Linked DNA regions of Arabidopsis thaliana. The protein of the gene in region 1 interacts with the protein of each later gene in a pairwise test. Each region holds a gene or a part of one and is shown on either strand. Other genes may lie near its edges.

Evidence for each region. Proteins that work in one complex are often made in the same cells at the same time.
Region 2: the proteins of AGP27 (region 1) and PIN5 interact in a protein complementation assay, tested with the Arabidopsis thaliana proteins (one large-scale study listed by BioGRID).
Region 3: the proteins of AGP27 (region 1) and TIP4;1 interact in a protein complementation assay, tested with the Arabidopsis thaliana proteins (one large-scale study listed by BioGRID).

Annotation. Positions count from the first base shown.
Region 1 is NC_003074.8:1,926,946-1,932,285, reverse strand, and holds AGP27 (arabinogalactan protein 27), read right to left. Parts: upstream 3,419-5,340; 5' UTR 3,311-3,418; coding exon 2,933-3,310; 3' UTR 2,602-2,932; downstream 1-2,601. Other genes in the region: NHX4 (sodium hydrogen exchanger 4), read left to right, coding at 86-152, 232-332, 426-527, 602-803, 902-985, 1,086-1,448; MEE32 (dehydroquinate dehydratase, putative / shikimate dehydrogenase), read left to right, coding at 4,585-4,806, 5,063-5,304. UniProt on the Arabidopsis thaliana protein: Proteoglycan that seems to be implicated in diverse developmental roles such as differentiation, cell-cell recognition, embryogenesis and programmed cell death.
Region 2 is NC_003076.8:5,397,580-5,404,338, forward strand, and holds PIN5 (Auxin efflux carrier family protein), read left to right. Parts: upstream 1-3,060; 5' UTR 3,061-3,155; coding exon 3,156-3,817; intron 3,818-4,325; coding exon 4,326-4,411; intron 4,412-4,504; coding exon 4,505-4,662; intron 4,663-4,816; coding exon 4,817-4,893; coding exon of another isoform or gene 4,894-4,897; exon of another isoform or gene 4,898-4,974; coding exon 4,975-5,047; 3' UTR 5,048-5,266; downstream 5,267-6,759. Other genes in the region: ZFN3 (zinc finger nuclease 3), read left to right, coding at 5,858-5,915, 6,014-6,174, 6,299-6,361, 6,451-6,570, 6,647-6,759. UniProt on the Arabidopsis thaliana protein: Auxin transporter regulating intracellular auxin homeostasis and metabolism. Mediates the auxin transport from the cytosol into the lumen of the endoplasmic reticulum. May also act as an auxin efflux carrier when located to the cell membrane.
Region 3 is NC_003071.7:11,009,619-11,015,664, forward strand, and holds TIP4;1 (tonoplast intrinsic protein 4;1), read left to right. Parts: upstream 1-2,880; 5' UTR 2,881-3,039; coding exon 3,040-3,166; intron 3,167-3,274; coding exon 3,275-3,513; intron 3,514-3,904; coding exon 3,905-4,288; 3' UTR 4,289-4,553; downstream 4,554-6,046. Other genes in the region: AT2G25800 (elongation factor Ts (DUF810)), read right to left, coding at 1-110; ESE2 (Integrase-type DNA-binding superfamily protein), read left to right, coding at 5,368-6,045. UniProt on the Arabidopsis thaliana protein: Aquaporins facilitate the transport of water and small neutral solutes across cell membranes. Transports urea in yeast cells in a pH-independent manner.

The DNA.
Region 1 (5,340 bases):
CGTATCTACTGATGGTTAAAAATGTGATTTTACCCTTTCTTTAATAATCCTTTTGCTTTGTTTTTGTTTTGTTTTGTAACATCAGGCACTCTACTGATCGTGAAGTTGCACTTATGATGCTATTGGCTTACTTATCATATATGTTGGCAGAGGTAATAAGAAAAATTTGAAACGTTTTGGTTACATTTTTTCCAACAGAAAATGAAAACATGATACATATATCCTTTGCAGCTATTCCACTTGAGCTCTATCTTGACTGTGTTCTTCTGCGGGATTGTTATGTCTCACTATACATGGCACAATGTTACAGATAAATCCAAGGTCACTACAAAGTAAGTTTCTTTTTCTTCTCCCAATAATTAGAAAATAACTCTACTAATTTGTTGTGCTTGATTGACTAAACTGTATACGTTTTCTTGGCGTAGACATACTTTTGCTGCAATGTCATTTCTAGCTGAGATTTTTATCTTCCTTTACGTTGGAATGGACGCTCTCGATATCGAGAAATGGGACGTTGTACGCAACAGGTGAGACTTAGAGTGTGATAATACATCAATATCTTTTGTTTCATTTTCATAATATTGTTTAACAATTTTGGCAGTCCTGGTCAGTCGATTGGAGTTAGTTCAATACTTCTTGGGCTTATTCTTCTGGGTCGCGCCGCGTTCGTGTTTCCACTTTCCTTCTTGTCCAATTTAACAAAGTCTTCACCGGATGAGAAAATAGACTTAAAGAAACAAGTAACCATTTGGTGGGCTGGTCTGATGCGTGGTGCAGTGTCAATGGCTCTTGCTTATAACCAGGTTTTGATCCGTGAACTACAAGAAACAAAGATAAAAAAGTGATCTTTGGGTTTTAATAAGTTCCCATGACTTAATCTCTTCTCTCTGTTACATCATAGTTCACAACTTCAGGACACACCAAGGTTCTTGGGAACGCTATCATGATCACCAGTACCATCACTGTTGTTCTTTTCAGTACTGTGGTACGTTTCAACACTTTGTTCAAACCGGTTTGCTTCCTACTGAAGTCAAATCGGGTTTAGCCTATCCAACACGTAACCTAATCTCTAACCTTTTTTGCAGGTGTTTGGATTGCTAACCAAACCGTTAGTCAAACATTTGCAGCCTTCATCAAAACAGTCCTCCACGACCGCGCTGCAGATCACACTAAGATCTTCTTTCCACGATCCGATCCTCCATGAGCCGTTGCTCAGTACCCAAGGCCAGTCAGAATACGACCCTGAACAACATGTTAGCTTCAGAATGTTCTGGAAATCTCCGTCCAGGGCCATTCATCATTACTGGAGGAAATTCGATAACGCAGTTATGCGTCGCATATTTGGTGGCCGAGGCGTTTCACCAGTAGTTCCAGGTTCACCCATTGAGAATAGTGTTCCGCAATGGAGTGAAGAAGTAGAAAACAAGGAACAAAACGGCGAACCTTGATGACCATAATGACATGAGTAAGATCTTTGACTTGTTGATCGCGTTTTTTGGCGTTGTTGGACGCAGACGCAACATGGGCCGGCTCTAATTTTTTGCCTCCAGTTTTGGTATAATGGTTTTGGATGTGAGTTCTTATTTGCCCGGTGTGATTTTTTGGTTTGTGGTGTGATTTTGTAAAGCCGGTCCGTTTTTCGTTGTTTGAGTTTGTGGTTTTGTTGAAAAATTGTAACTGTCCATGTAAATAGGGACTGATATAGGGGTGACTTGAGTACACCTAGCTCATATGCAGACGTTAGCGTCTGCGTTTGGAGATTCGAGTTTGCGTTGGTGGGACGTGAGCAGATTTTTTAATCTAAAGTTTGTGTACACTTTCTTGTACTTCTTATACAAAACAAAGGGACACGAATCTTTCTAATGTTCATAATTTATTACTGGGTTTTGCAAGAAACTTGTTGACAATATACAAATAAACTGATAACTTATATATAAATATAACTTTTGAGAAATCTAATCTTATTTTTATGCTTGCACGTATATAAGGACAAAGTGAGTGGGTATCAATCAACCTTATAGTAACATATACAATCTTTCACGCATAAAACCCTATAATGTGAAAACAAGAAACGTCCTTTACATATTTCTTCTCACCTAGATATTATTAATTTTAATATTGAGACTTTGAAACCCCAGAAATAAGATAAAGTGTGGGACAAGAAAAGAAGGCACCTTTTTTTGTTGTTGCTTTTAGCCGTGAGGCCAGCATATGCAGTAACTCACATGCATGCGCCTCTAACCTTGTGGCATTTTAGGAATTATGCAATAATGCACTATACTTAAATACGTTAATTCACAAAGTAATACATTCATTCAGTTCATAAACACGTCTCAAGATTAAGACAAAAATAATCATAAAAAACTGGTGTTTTACATAAACTTATGTCGAAATTAATTAGTAGTCTACATATAATTACTCAAGTGTTATTTGCATGTAAACAGTACAAATTTTTGGAACGTTTGATTTTGATACTACTATAAACTGCAGTATACTGTAAAGCATGCATATGACGTCACTTTAATTTGAAACGTAATTTCAACTTTTTCAAAAGGTTCTTTAGCTTAGCGATAAAAAAAAAAAAAAAAGTTAGTGTATAGTAAACGAACAAATGAAATGAAAAGAAGAGAAAAGTATAAGTCCTCAAAGTGTATTGAATCACTTAACGGTAAATTAGTTTTTATTTTTATTTTTATCCAGAGTTCTTAAGTTAATTATGCATCAATTATGTGGTTCTGACGTAATATATTACTTGCGTTTTTCATCTAAACCAATCTAAAACTGTAACAAAATGTTAAGTGGAGAACAATAAAAAATACAAATAGTAAAAAAAAATTGAAAATCAAACTAAATCTAATTTTATTCGTTATTTTTAGGGGACAAATAAACTCATGAAAATAATGACGTACGTGGTCTAAAATATATGAATGACCTATATAGCTGAAACGGCAAGAAGCCGGAGCGAGAAACAATAGACGGCGGCGAAGACAAAGTAGATGAAAACTCCGGGAGCTTGAGAAGACAGAGAAGCAAGAGATGAAGCCGGAGGAGAAGCCGATGGAGCGAAGGCGGGATCAGGATCTGCGGAAACGTCGTCGTTTTCTGGTTCAGGAAGTGTTGAAGAAGAAGGGATGGTTTGAGTGGAGGAGACGGCGGGTGAAGGGAGGAGAGGAGCGATCTCCGGTGAGATCTTTTCTTCAGAGGGAGAGATTGTTTGCGAAGATGGGATTGTATTTGTCGTCGGCGAAGAGAGAGAAAGTGAGGAGAGAAAGATGAAGGTGATGAGTGTTAGCAATATAGATGAAGCCATCTTTTTTGGTTACTGTAATGATGAACAAATCAAAGCTGAGTTGTTTTTTTCCTTAACTGATGAGAGCGCATTTTGTGTTGTAATAATGATACTGTCTCTATAAAAGAAAACTTTTAGCTCTAATAGTAAAATATTATAAATTGATTTTAAATGGAATTTGTCTCACCTTTTTCCAAAAAGATTATTATTTATCAATTTAAAGGATGTGTTCGGTGGAAAAGAAAATATATTTGCTGAATTCTTGAAGATGGGCGTAGATCGAGTTTTCACTTTTTAGTAGAAGCTCTTATATATTGCACATATTTTCGAATAAACATGTGCTTTACTTTTTGCTGAAAAATATTATGTTAATGCAAATTATACATATTGCTAAGTACGAGTAAAGGCATCTCCATCCATGAGAAACCTACAAAGTTTCTAAAACAAAAAAAATATTAATATTATATTATAATTTAATTATTTGATTAAAAAAGTAATTTTGTTAAAAAATTGAATCAATAGTGAGATGAGAATTGTCATGATGGGTTGTAGAGAATATCTCAAAATTTTTCAAGTGAGAAACTTTCTACATTTTCTCTCCTTCATTTTCATTATTTTTATTTTTTTAATTGTGAAAAACTCTTATGAAATACCTTCAATGGAGATGGTCTAATTACGTTTGTTGTTGCCTCGTTGGATGTTCAAATAAAAAGCACATTTTATATTGGGTTGTTCCTAAACAAATATTTTGTTGTCTTTTGTACTAAAGTTTATTGGCGAGTTAAGAAAAGCTTTGTGGTGTGTGGGAATTATTATTATTATTTATTATTTATTGTTCTTTAGTTTGCTATGCAATTCGAGCCCACTAAAGAGGCTTCCTATGGGCCCAAAAAACGCAGCCCACTATTGTAGTGCAAAACGTGCTGAGTTTTCTACATTGCATGCCCAACAATGGCCACCAGTGTAGTTAAAGACTCAAGAACTTGCTGACCTCTATTTGTTTGACTTTCTTTTTTGTGTGAACAAAATCACATATTGTTGATGTCATTTGTTCTGCTATAATTCTTAACTTCAGATTACAGATAACGAATTTTCTCTTGATGATTTAAACAAACATATATAATTGTCAATATCAGAAAATGAAAAGGAGATATAAATAATTTTTTTTTGCGCCTAATCGAAACTTCACCTACCATTTTTTAGCGTATAAAAACGTTAAAAATACCAAAATTTAGAAATCCAATAAAAGTTGTGAAAAAAAGCCGCAAAGGGTCGTTGTTGTTTGTCGCCTCTCAATGGCAGCTTCTTCAACTAATGCTCGTCTCACCAACCCTCCTCGTCTACTCTCCAAACCCCGACTTTCACCTACCTCCGTCGCCAATCTCCGTTTTCCAGCCGCCGATTTCTCCACTCGCTTCTTTGCCGATTCTTCGTCCCCGCGGCTAAGGAGTGTACCGTTTCCGGTGGTATTTTCCGATCAAAGGCGCCGGCGAAGCATGGAACCTAGCAATGTCTATGTTAGTGATTCTTCCTTTAGTTCAGTTTTCTTTTGTTGTTTTCTGTTCCGTTTTTATTGGAGAAGGATAGGTAATGATGAATTTGCAGATTTATCGCTTCAAATAAATTTGGTATTAGTTTTGGATGAAGACTTTGATGTTTCGTGTACAACATTGGTTTAGCTATTTAGAATCGATCTTCAGAATTTTTGTTTAGTTCTGAGAAGTAGTTGGATTTTTAATTGATTGTGGAATTTATCCTGTTTTGTGATCTCAGGTGGCTTCAAATTCCACGGAAATGGAGATCGGAAGTCATGATATCGTGAAGAATCCGAGCTTGATCTGTGCTCCAGTGATGGCGGATTCAATAGACAAGATGGTGATTGAAACGAGTAAAGCCCATGAATTGGGTGCAGACTTGGTTGAAATTCGATTAGATTGGCTAAAGGACTTCAATCCTCTTGAGGATCTAAAAACCATTATTAAGAAATCTCCTCTACCCACTTTATTCACCTACAGGTTTGTGTGTTCAAGCTTGAGACTTTTTAAATGTTT
Region 2 (6,759 bases), on another chromosome or scaffold:
CCTGTTAAGCAAGTGACTTCGTCGTGGTCAAGAACCAGCAAAATTTAAAAACCGGGTGGTTCATGTTATCCGGTTCGGTTTATATATCAAATTTTCCCGCCGGACCAAACAAACCTGCAGAGAGATTTTCCTGATTCAAAAGTCGTTTCTAGCTTTGCCTTTGTACTTTTTTTTTTTTTGTAATCATTAGTTCATTACATAATCTATGAAGTGTTCACATATTCTTGGAAATTTGATAACTATAATCACCGATCTTGATCTCTTTAGCTATTATTATGGTGTACCCTTCAAGTTCTAAAGTATAAGAACTATACTAGAATTAATGAATAAGTAACACTTTGCATGTAACTTAAGACTTGTGTTCACATCAAAGAGTGTTGTTGATGCGGCTAATACGTTTGAGGACTTTATGCTAAAAGTAAATCATTCTCCATTCTCCATGGTTGAAAACTTGTTCTTGCGTCTTCTCTTCTCTGGAAAAACGAATGTTTCCAGAATAAAAACACGAGATGTGAAGCAGAAGAGTACAACAAGTAGGTGCTGTAGCATATATTGAGTGACGAAGCAATGAAGGAACAGATTATTGTGAGCCACAAAATAAATTAAGAAATAATACAGTAGTGAAGTCGTTTCAAACAGAGGATTTATTCCACCTGCACTTGGAGGAGTTTCCTCTTTTCATAAGTCTAAAGAACAAATTTGCCTTTAAGAATAATTCTTCTGTGTTTTTTTTTAATATGGAATTTGAATGAAAGATTAGTGTGTGGATATGGATAATTAATTATATTTAAAAAATTATGTAATATTGATATGTTTGTAGTTTGGTTTCCCTTTCTATTGGCTGCTATTTACTTCATTCTTTCAATGATTGACGTTGAACTTCTTTTCGACCAAAATCAAAACATCCTCTCCTTTATGTATAACTTTGTTTCTTCTGATTTGATTTGTAACATTAACATGATTACATTTATATATAGTATATAATACGTAACCATGCATTTAACTTGGTACTTGGATTCGTTTATGAAAGATTGAAAGGAAAACGAAAGTTATATGATCACTACTCTTGAATTCGAACTCTAATTTAGGAAGAACAGTATAAACCCCAACATATAGTGTTTTCTGGTCTGAAAAACTTTGATTGTTTTGTTTTTGTGGTTTGGGAAAAAACATCAACATAATATTCATGACGTCAAAAGTACAAAACAAATAAGATGGATTTTGAATAAACTTTCCAATCGTGCTAGCTAGCTATTTCTGACATAATTCAAGAAGAATAATGAAAATATGTCACACAAAAACAAAAGTATTAACGATGAATGAATGAATGAGAGAAGACAAAAACCTTTTTGATATTAAAAAGACTGTAATATATATCAACACATCAGGAGAGAAATTTGAAAGCATATTATAGATTTGTAATCATCAAGTGATAAATAGAACTTATTCTACTAGCATTATTATTCATATTTATATATGATCCCTCAATTTCACCAGTGAATAAGCATCCTCCACGTTTTCACAGATTTCTAATCCACCGATTTTAACTTTTGTTCCATCAGTCAAATCCCCCTTTTTGTTTTTGTTTTAGTCCGACTATATATATTTGTTTGCTTATGTTTTTCTATTTGTTCCAAATCTTTGGTAAAGATAGGTGTTTCCATAAAATGTTATTATCAAATCAAATGATAAATAAATGCTTTCCAGATCATTTTATGCCTCTGCATGATTCTCTAGTAATTAGATCAAATCAATTTTCTCATCATGAATATGTGTAATAGAAAAGACTTTGTGAATGGACAATATATATGGTTACAAAACAAAAATATACCATAGAATTAAAAAGTGCTAATATGATGATATTGCACCTAGCAATATGTGTTGTTGTGATTATATTAGAGTCCAGAAGGCAAATAATAAATTTGTTGTCTAGCAAGAAAGGACAAGAGCACGAGGTACAAATTTTTCTGTAAACTTTTGTAGTTCTTGAATGGCTTCCTCAATCCTCACGATGATAGATTTTTCGCTAGCTCGTAGTATAATATGGTTCTTTGATATTTTAACAAAGAAGAAAGACATGGCCATATGATTTTTTATCGAACGAAACATAAAAAACAACGTAAAACATGGTTTAAGATAAAAGTAAGTAAGTTATTTGTAGACTTCTCTATCTATCTATATATTAACATATTCTAAAACCCATGACATGTTATTTCTTAAACCATGAATATATTGAAACATTCAAATCATCACTAGGTATAAGTAAGTGAAATTCATTTTCTTATAAGAAATCTCTCTTTGTCGGTTATGAAATTGGTTGCTATCGCCAGGTCGTAGGGCACAAATACCCATTTCGGCATATATACAAACTATTCCATGCACTTTACTTATATTACATGCACTAGCATAGTTCTGCTCCCATTTTATGAAAGTGGTTAATAAATATAAATATTAAGATTAAGAAAAAAACGATTAAGCAAATATTTCGAATAAATTATTGAAAATATATTATTTGGTTAGTCTCATGTGTTGTGGCGACGAGTTACGACAGCCAAAAACATATATTGGTCGAGACGATCTTCTAGTTATGGTGCTAAAGCTGCAACCTCATTCTTTATTCTGCGACATTACCATTAATTAATATAGTCAAATATTGAAAGAAATGTTTACGTCATACACAAACACTACACTCACTATTTACAGGAAACAATTGGAATAGAATCATATGCCACGGCACGGTCTGGTCAATTATATTGATAACGATAACTCTCTTGTTTCTCAATTAAACTAATGGCTAAAAATATGAGGTTGATTTTAATTTTTTTATCTAAATATTTAGACTCAAATTTCAATTGTATCTATTCTATAGGAATTTAGCCAAATTATTTATAAATATTCGTAATCATATTCCGAAGAAAAAAATATTATTGTTTAATTTATATCTAAACTTTACTTTTGTTTGAATATTACTCATGGATATCTCATTACCTATCTTTTTTCTACAACAAATAAAACAATTAAAAATTTATCTATAAATATGAACATGTTGGTTTCTCTATCGTAACACATTTACTATCTACGAACGAATTTAGAAGCTTTGTTTTCTTTCCTTTCGTTTGCTACTACTGCAACATTTCTATTTTTCTGATAAAACCATGATAAATTGTGGAGATGTTTACAAGGTAATCGAAGCAATGGTTCCACTCTATGTAGCCTTAATCTTAGGCTATGGCTCTGTGAAATGGTGGCACATCTTCACGCGTGATCAATGTGATGCTATAAACCGTCTCGTTTGCTATTTCACCCTGCCGCTCTTCACCATTGAGTTCACGGCCCATGTCGACCCGTTCAACATGAATTACCGGTTCATCGCGGCCGATGTCCTCTCTAAGGTCATCATAGTCACGGTCTTAGCGTTGTGGGCCAAATATAGCAACAAAGGAAGCTATTGTTGGTCCATTACTAGTTTCTCTCTATGCACTCTTACTAACTCTCTTGTCGTTGGTGTGCCATTGGCTAAGGCAATGTACGGACAACAGGCTGTTGATCTGGTGGTTCAATCCTCGGTATTTCAAGCCATCGTGTGGCTCACACTCTTGTTGTTTGTCTTAGAGTTTAGAAAAGCCGGATTTAGTAGTAATAATATCAGCGACGTACAAGTAGACAACATCAATATCGAAAGTGGAAAAAGAGAAACTGTGGTTGTGGGAGAGAAGTCGTTCCTTGAGGTCATGTCCCTCGTTTGGTTGAAGCTTGCAACGAATCCAAATTGCTATTCTTGCATCCTTGGGATCGCATGGGCTTTTATTTCTAACAGGTAAAAATGAATCTTTAATTAAACTTTATATTGGTACCTATAAGATGTTTAACAAAGTGTTAATTAGTATGTGTGATCAGGGACTCAGGAGACTACATTAATTCCACCCCTTACTCCGAGGCAACCGTTAAAATTGCCTAAAAATATCTATAGTTTGACGTTTAAACCATCTAAATTATTACTTTTCTGTGTAGCGCCTGATGATCTATAGTTAAAATTTTGACAGAAATATAGGTCACGATTGTTTCTTTGCATTTGCGTTTATATTTCCATGTGACAAATGACTAGGACATTTTTAACATGGTAACATAATTTGCAAACGTGACATGTACATGCAAATAAACTAATCATGATTTTAATCTGAATATTAGAGTCTTTGACCAAATTTCTATTTTATTTGTTTTAGTGTGAATTTTGGGTTTAGGGTTTTGATTAGTGTTTTGTATACTCTTGGCTAACAAATAAAGACTTAAGTCTAATAATTGATGGAAATTAATTGGAAATATAGATGGCATCTGGAGCTGCCGGGCATATTAGAGGGTTCGATTCTTATAATGTCAAAAGCAGGAACAGGAACGGCCATGTTCAATATGGGTACGTTTATTTATGTCCATGCAAGTATCTTTCTATACGTAAAGATTACGTATCAGTATTGAGATAACAGTGAATACATGCATATATACGCAGGAATATTCATGGCACTTCAAGAAAAGTTGATAGTATGTGGAACAAGCTTGACTGTGATGGGAATGGTATTGAAGTTTATTGCCGGACCGGCGGCCATGGCCATCGGCTCTATTGTCCTTGGCCTCCACGGTGATGTCCTCCGCGTAGCCATCATTCAGGTCATAAATTCTACTTTATCCTTTTGTACCCTAATTCTACTGAAGTTTGTATATAAAAAAAAAAGTAGATCATTTTCCATTCATTCATCCACTAAGATACTAACTTTATATTTTTCAGTTTAATATATCATTAATATTTATATGAAATTTACAGGCTGCTTTGCCACAATCGATTACTTCGTTCATTTTTGCTAAGGAATATGGATTACATGCAGATGTTCTAAGCACAGCGTAAGTCCAAATTTTAAAAATTCAGTCTATTTAAGAAGAAAATGGTAATATGAAATTAAATTAAAATTTTGATAAATGTAGGGTGATATTTGGGATGTTGGTCTCTCTACCTGTGCTCGTCGCCTACTACGCAGCTCTGGAGTTTATTCATTGATTAAACTAATAAATTCGATTATATCATCAATATTACCCTTTGTTCATCTTTCACAAGTTTTTTTTTTTGTTATCTCTTTTACACTTTCCTCCTAAAGGAGATTTTGAAGTATATTCGAGATATGAAAACCATTAACTGAATGAATTAACCTAGTTTATGCTTAATTTTATACTTTCTTAAGCTCTCTTTATTTTCGTAGTATGCATAATTTAGTATTTTGTTCACATATACGTATCAAGAAAAGATAAAAACTCTATAAATGAAAATACATCATGTTCGGATCTAAAATTGTTTTAATACGTACACTAAATATTATAAGCCCTTTTTTTGTTAACAAAAAAAAAAAAAGAATAAATGAAACGAAATTCAGGTTAGAGATCAAATAAAATCTTGTTATTATTTGATTCATGATCATACATACTAACCAAATCAGGATTTATGAAATAAATTATTCTTTCTCCTCAACCGAATCAATATGAAGATAAAAGGGGTAATTTAGTCTTTTCGAATTCGTTTTTCTTACCGAATCTCTTTAGTTTTTTTTCTTTCTTTTGTGTGGAGGAGAGAAGAGAACGCAACACTTTCTTCCCAATCTCTCTCTGCTTTCTCTCTCTAGACGTGATCTCTAATTCTCTAATGTCTTCCTGCATTGCCATTTCCTCTAACCCCTCCACAATCGGAGGAAGACGATTCCTGGGAGCAAGAGAAACGATGGGACTTCCCATCGGAAAATCTCTTAGAGTGAGAGAATTATGGTGTGTTCTTAATGCTTAATAATCACCGACACAGCCATTGTTCTTCATCATCTCCATGGATTTTGATTCCATTTCTCGGGAAAGCACTTTTCTTTCCCCATTGCTTAACCAAAGTACCATCCTTTATTCCCTCTCTGATGTTCTGATTCAATCTTAAAAACCTCAGCTTGAATTTTTGTTGTGGGGTTTTGGTTGGGTTTGTGAATTTTAGATGCAATGTGGCAAATGAACTTGGGATCAGATGATACAATGGGTGTTGATGGGTCTTATCCGGAACGTCACGGAGAGCCAGATTGTGCTTATTATATAAGGACTGGACTTTGTAGGTTTGGTTCAACTTGCCGATTCAATCATCCTCACGACCGGAAACTGGTACTGACTCTGTTTCTGTGTTTGTTCTTTCCTCTGTATCTTGTTGACTCAAAGTTTGTAGCTTTGAGGGTCTGTGTGTGTGTGTGATTACAAGCTGATGAATAGTCTCGTATCCAATTTCTAGGTTATAGCAACTGCAAGGATTAAAGGAGAATACCCTGAAAGAATTGGTCAGCCTGAATGTGAGGTAGCTCTGTTTCGAATTACTATCATAGTAATGTCTTCTAGTTATCACATTGTCTCAAAGCTTCTATTTTTGTTGTTGTGTCTGTGCAGTTTTATCTGAAGACAGGGACCTGCAAATTCGGAGTGACTTGCAAGTTTCATCATCCTAGGAACAAAGCTGGTATTGATGGAAGTGTATCAGTTAATGTCTTAAGCTATCCTCTACGTCCGGTATGTATACATTTCAACTTTCTAATCTCACCACTGCTTTGTAAAATTTTGCCTCTCTCATGAGTTCTGTTTGCAGAACGAAGATGATTGCTCTTACTTTTTGAGAATTGGACAATGTAAATTTGGGGGAACTTGTAAATTCAATCACCCTCAGACTCAATCAACCAACTTGATGGTTTCTGTTCGTGG
Region 3 (6,046 bases), on another chromosome or scaffold:
AGATCGGAAGACATTGAAGAAGAACGTGAAGTCGCCGAATGTGACGGCGGCGGCGGCGTAGACTCTCTCTTGGAGTGGCCCAGAGACAGCTCCCTGAAGAGATGAGCCATTATTTGCGTGTGAGAGCAGCGAAAGAGAGAGAGAGAGAGAAAGAACAAAAACAGCTTTTAGTACAGTTATTACTTGAAATAATTTAAGAAGAAATGGCAGTTTTGTAATTTTGTTTAATTATTTGATTTTTTCGTCTCATTAGTCATTTTAAAGGAAATTTTCAATAAGCGTTAGTTATTTGATGTTTACCATATACTGTATCTATAAATATAATTATCGATTAAGTCAAGCTAATGAGTGAATTAGGTAACTAATAAGTAAAAAAATAGACGTAAGAATTTATGATTTACAAAAAAAGAAAAGAATTTATGATTTATTGCTATTAAATAGTGGCTTTTTATTTCGTATTGGATATTCGTTTAAGTTTAGATCGGTTCTATTCCAATTACGAGGTTTTTGGTTTTAGAGATTTAGGTCTCATTCGGCTATTATAATTTTCTTTTATTTGGTTGGTTCAATTTTTTGGGTTTGGGACAATTCTAGTGTTTACGTTGAGGATGGTCTCATGGACAAACAAAATTTAGATGTGGTTCATATTCCTTACTTTTTTTAATCCAAATGTATCTTCATGTAACAAAAAAAAAAAAACCAAAATATTAGAAAATTATAATTGTATAACTATATATACTCAAATCTACACAAAATAGCCAAAACAAAATTTGTGACAAAATATATGCAATAATAGATGAAATATCCGAAAATAGGTATACAGTAATTAATATTTTTTGGGTATATATGTAAGTTGATTGTAGTTCAAACTTAAAATAACATAAAAATAAAGTGGGAAAGGGAGCTGGAGCATCAGAGACGAACAGCTTGGAGACGGTCTCACGCTTATGTCTCATGATCCTTTTTCTGTGGGCAAATTGGACCACATATAAATAAATACATACTAGTATTTGTTTACTTTTTCTTTTCTATATTAAATTGTTTCAAACGATGATACAAATTCAAAGTATTTAGATAGGCTTAGAAAGAGAGATTTAGGATATTTAAGTGGTTAGTTTTGTTTGGTCAGATTATGTTACAAGTAACTTTCTTCTATGTACTGATGATCTACATGAATCTAGGACAACACTTTCCCCAAATCAAGGTAGAAGACAAGGAAGGTTAATTGATTAGTAAAAGTCTATCAAGAGGTATTATCGGTTAAAATTAGATTCGGTTTAGTTTAGGTTAAACAAAAATTGACATTGTTTTTTTTGTTTAGTTTCGTTGATTTTTAATAACTCGTCCATTCTGCATGTCTAAATGCAGAGCCGTTCCTATGTTTTACAAGGCTACAAACGACAAAAAAAGAGGCCATTTTACACATATTCATGAAGGTAATGTACGAATTTTTCAGCATCAAGATTTTATAGTAACTAGTGAATACTAAGATTGTGGAGATTGTGGCTATGTAAGATAACATATAAGCATATATGGTATTTGCCTTTATTTGATAGATTGAAGCAATAGTATTAGTCTGAGAGGACAACGGCGGTATGAGACGACGGCATGCAGAACATGCATTCACATGAGAGATTTCACATACTTTGGGTACAGCATGGAAGTATTTTTCTTCCATATATCGAGACTTTGCAAATGGACCAAAAAATGTCTATCTACGTTTTCTTGTAGTTAACCAACAAAAGTTGTGAGGGTAGGAAGAACTCAGAGGAATCAGGTAATGGAGAAGGAGAAGAAGCCGATGGAGCTGCTATATACAATGTCAAATTTTGACCAATTTTCTTACCAACAAAATGGTCAAACTTTTTATTGAAAAACTTTCGAACAAACTAAGACGAATATATGAAATGATCAGTAATTGGTGAAATTTTTTGGACTCATATAATGAGTAGATAAATGGTCAAAACAAATTGACGACGAATTCAAGTTTTAATCAAAAAATGGTTAGTAAAATATATATATATATATATATATAGATATCTGACATTATAAGTGTTTGTAGTTATTTTAGAATGGTCATAAAGTCGTCAAGATGTTTTCGATAATTAGTAAAACTTTTCTTACGTAAAGTGTTAAATTTTTTACTAACCCATTATTTGACCAATTTATCACATAATCCATGGTCGAAAATGGACAATTTGCTTATGACATGTTGATGTTCTAATTTTTATATTAGTATCGTGTCAACTTACGTGATTGCATTTATAAGCAATTTTGCACTTATATGTGCTTTGATTGTCCTTTGGAGTCGAACATGGCTCCACATTGTTAAAGCTTTCATCGCCTCACCATATATCCCATAACACAAGTTCTTTGATAAAGATCACATACATATACCTTGATCTGTTTTCCTTCTTTGCAGTCCAAAAATTCCTATTAAATTTTCTCTTATGCAACTACTTGATTTTCTTCTATTTACGTTTGTTAATTCATCATCCTCTATTGATTAATGATTTTTCTTGATCGTTGTTACATTGGATTGGATTGTAAGAGACTATGATCATTCTTATGCAGTGGATTATAAAATGAAAATGAATAACAAATCATTACAAATAAATTAGTTTTTAACAATCTGAACTACTTTATATCCAATGGAAACAATTTAAACGTATCCAACCAGTAACACCTCTTTGATATTGAAGGACACAAATCAGAGTACTGTACTGTGTAAGCATATTTCAAATTTGTTACCCAATCTCCAAAAACAATATGTCAAATAAAGTAATACATCTCAGAACTCACTAAAGAACATAATACAAGTCAACTTTCGAAACTCAAATCAATCACTCATCATCATACATTAATTTCATTCCATGTGCTCCTTAGTCCTTACCATTTTCTTTTCACTTTCTTTTCCTTACAATTAAAAAAAAAAACTCATTATAAGTAGCTTCGTTGTATTACGCACAAATCACAACATCAACTAAACCATATATCAAAATTTCGTTAGATTAGAACTTTTAAATTCATTCAAAAGCCATGAAGAAGATCGAGTTAGGGCACCATAGCGAAGCGGCTAAACCGGACTGCATTAAAGCCCTCATTGTCGAATTCATCACTACCTTTCTCTTTGTCTTCGCTGGTGTTGGATCTGCCATGGCCACTGGTAATTTCTCAGGCTTCTATTTCTAGCAAACCAAGTAGCTTAACTTGGTTCTTGACACTACGATGCACTTCAATTTACAACTTAATTTTATTTTATTCATTTTCTTAGACAGTTTAGTCGGAAACACATTGGTGGGACTTTTCGCGGTCGCGGTGGCTCATGCATTCGTTGTGGCGGTAATGATATCTGCGGGCCATATCTCCGGTGGCCACCTCAACCCCGCCGTCACCCTCGGTCTACTCTTGGGTGGCCACATCAGCGTATTCCGTGCATTCCTTTATTGGATTGATCAATTGTTGGCCTCCTCCGCAGCATGCTTCCTCCTCAGTTACCTCACCGGAGGAATGGTACAAAAATCTAATTTAATATTACAAAAAAACATATTATTGCTAATCAACAACTTATAACGCTACTAAAAGTAATGCCAAGGACGGAATTATAAATTATGATCCAATGACACACATTTTCACATGATTCTATTGGTTCAATAATTAAGTCAACTATCAATTGCTTACCTACATTTTTTTTGTTTCGTATATAATTTTTTCTGATTCAATAATACACAAGTTCTATTATGTACTAGTACAGATTTTTTTATTTATTGATTAATCTACAATAATTTTTTTTCTAATCGAATTGGTAAAACTTTTAATTACATACACTTCAAACAATGATTTGATTCCTGCCTGTTCGATATAACACGTAGTTTGACATTTTACAATTATGTTTTGTGATTAGGGAACTCCGGTTCACACATTGGCAAGTGGAGTGAGTTACACGCAAGGGATCATATGGGAGATCATCTTAACATTTTCACTTCTCTTCACTGTCTACGCCACTATTGTGGATCCGAAGAAAGGATCCCTTGATGGGTTCGGCCCACTTCTCACAGGATTTGTCGTTGGAGCCAACATCCTTGCAGGAGGTGCCTTTTCTGGCGCCTCCATGAACCCCGCCCGGTCTTTTGGTCCCGCTTTGGTCTCTGGAAACTGGACTGACCATTGGGTATATTGGGTTGGACCGTTGATCGGTGGTGGACTCGCCGGTTTCATCTACGAGAATGTCCTCATTGACCGTCCACATGTCCCAGTCGCTGACGACGAGCAACCATTGTTGAATTAAATGTGTTTGAAACTGTGCTATGCACGTCACATACCCTATTAGCTAATCATTAATGTATTATTGATCCCCAAAAATCGTTTCAATAATGTATTATTGATCCCAAAAATTGTTTCTTTCTGTCCTCTAAGATGTATCTCTTTTAAGTTGGAACCTTAATCTATTAATTCCAATTATTGAGAATAAAACTTTCTGTTTACCACTTTTTCATTTTTGAGAATTTGTGAAGTTAAAAAAATATACATATTATGAGAATGTTTTAAACGGGAAATTTTCTTCTCTCGCTTCTATTCGTCTAAAATTTAGGGCCGGTTTTGGTGGTGTGTAGGTGGCCGACGAACTTATGTAATTTGGCGCGTGCAGTCTGAAACATACATGTTTCCTTCGTTGATGTCTGATCAGCCAAACTTGTTTCATTTCTGTACTTTGAGAATTTTTCTACGTTCGAAGTTTCGAATGTTTACAGGAAATCACACTTCTTGATGGTTTACTAATAACGTCTTGTTTTTTATTTTCGACTGAAACCACATTTTTCTATCACACAAACAATGTTGCATTATTGTATACAGAAATCGTTTATGGCTTTAACCGTTTAATGTTACGTTTAATTTTTTAACCTATATTATTTGAGTTATCTTCTATATGTAAATTTAGTCGAGTGTTTTAAAATGGATTAAACAAAAAATTAAGGTTTTTTATCGTTAAATTTTCTTCTTTTTTTTAATATCTAGAAATTCAAATTTGAAGGTTCTACATCTATAAAGACGGGATTCACACCAGATTAAATTCTATTGTCAAATATTAAATCACAGTCATTGGAATTTGACACCCTTTATATAATTAATTCGTAAGCAATACCCCCACACTACTTCTCGTATGCGAGCCCACACAGACAGTACTATAGTATATATAATGTCATCGGAAAGAAGAAACATAAAATGACTAGTTCATAAAACAAAAACTTTCTTATATTACACCGACACTAAAAAAATGTCTCATTCCTTCTTGCCTAGGAACTAATTGTTGCACACTTCGGTACACAATTTTTTGAGCACTTCGACATCAAAACGAGAGAGAAAAGAATGGTGGATTCTCATGGCTCCGACACGGAATGTTCCTCCAAGAAGAAAAAGGAGAAAACGAAAGAAAAGGGGGTATATCGTGGGGCTCGCATGAGGAGCTGGGGGAAATGGGTCTCGGAGATTCGGGAGCCCCGTAAGAAATCAAGAATCTGGCTCGGGACTTTCCCCACGGCGGAGATGGCAGCGCGTGCCCATGATGTTGCGGCATTGAGTATCAAAGGAAGTTCCGCAATCCTTAACTTCCCTGAGCTCGCGGATTTTCTGCCAAGACCAGTCTCGCTCAGCCAACAGGATATCCAGGCCGCAGCCGCCGAAGCCGCTCTTATGGATTTCAAAACTGTACCATTCCATCTTCAGGATGACTCAACGCCGTTGCAAACTAGGTGTGATACTGAGAAGATCGAAAAGTGGTCATCCTCATCGTCCTCAGCCTCATCCTCATCCTCATCTTCGTCCTCGTCCTCATCATCTATGCTTTCGGGGGAGCTAGGAGATATTGTGGAGTTGCCGAGTCTTGAAAACAATGTAAAATACGATTGTGCGCTGTATGACTCGTTGGAGGGGCTGGTGTCGATGCCCCCATGGTTAGATGCTACCGAAAATGATTTTAGGTATGGAGATGATTCGGTACTGTTGGACCCATGTCTCAAAGAAAGCTTTTTGTGGAATTATGAGTAAG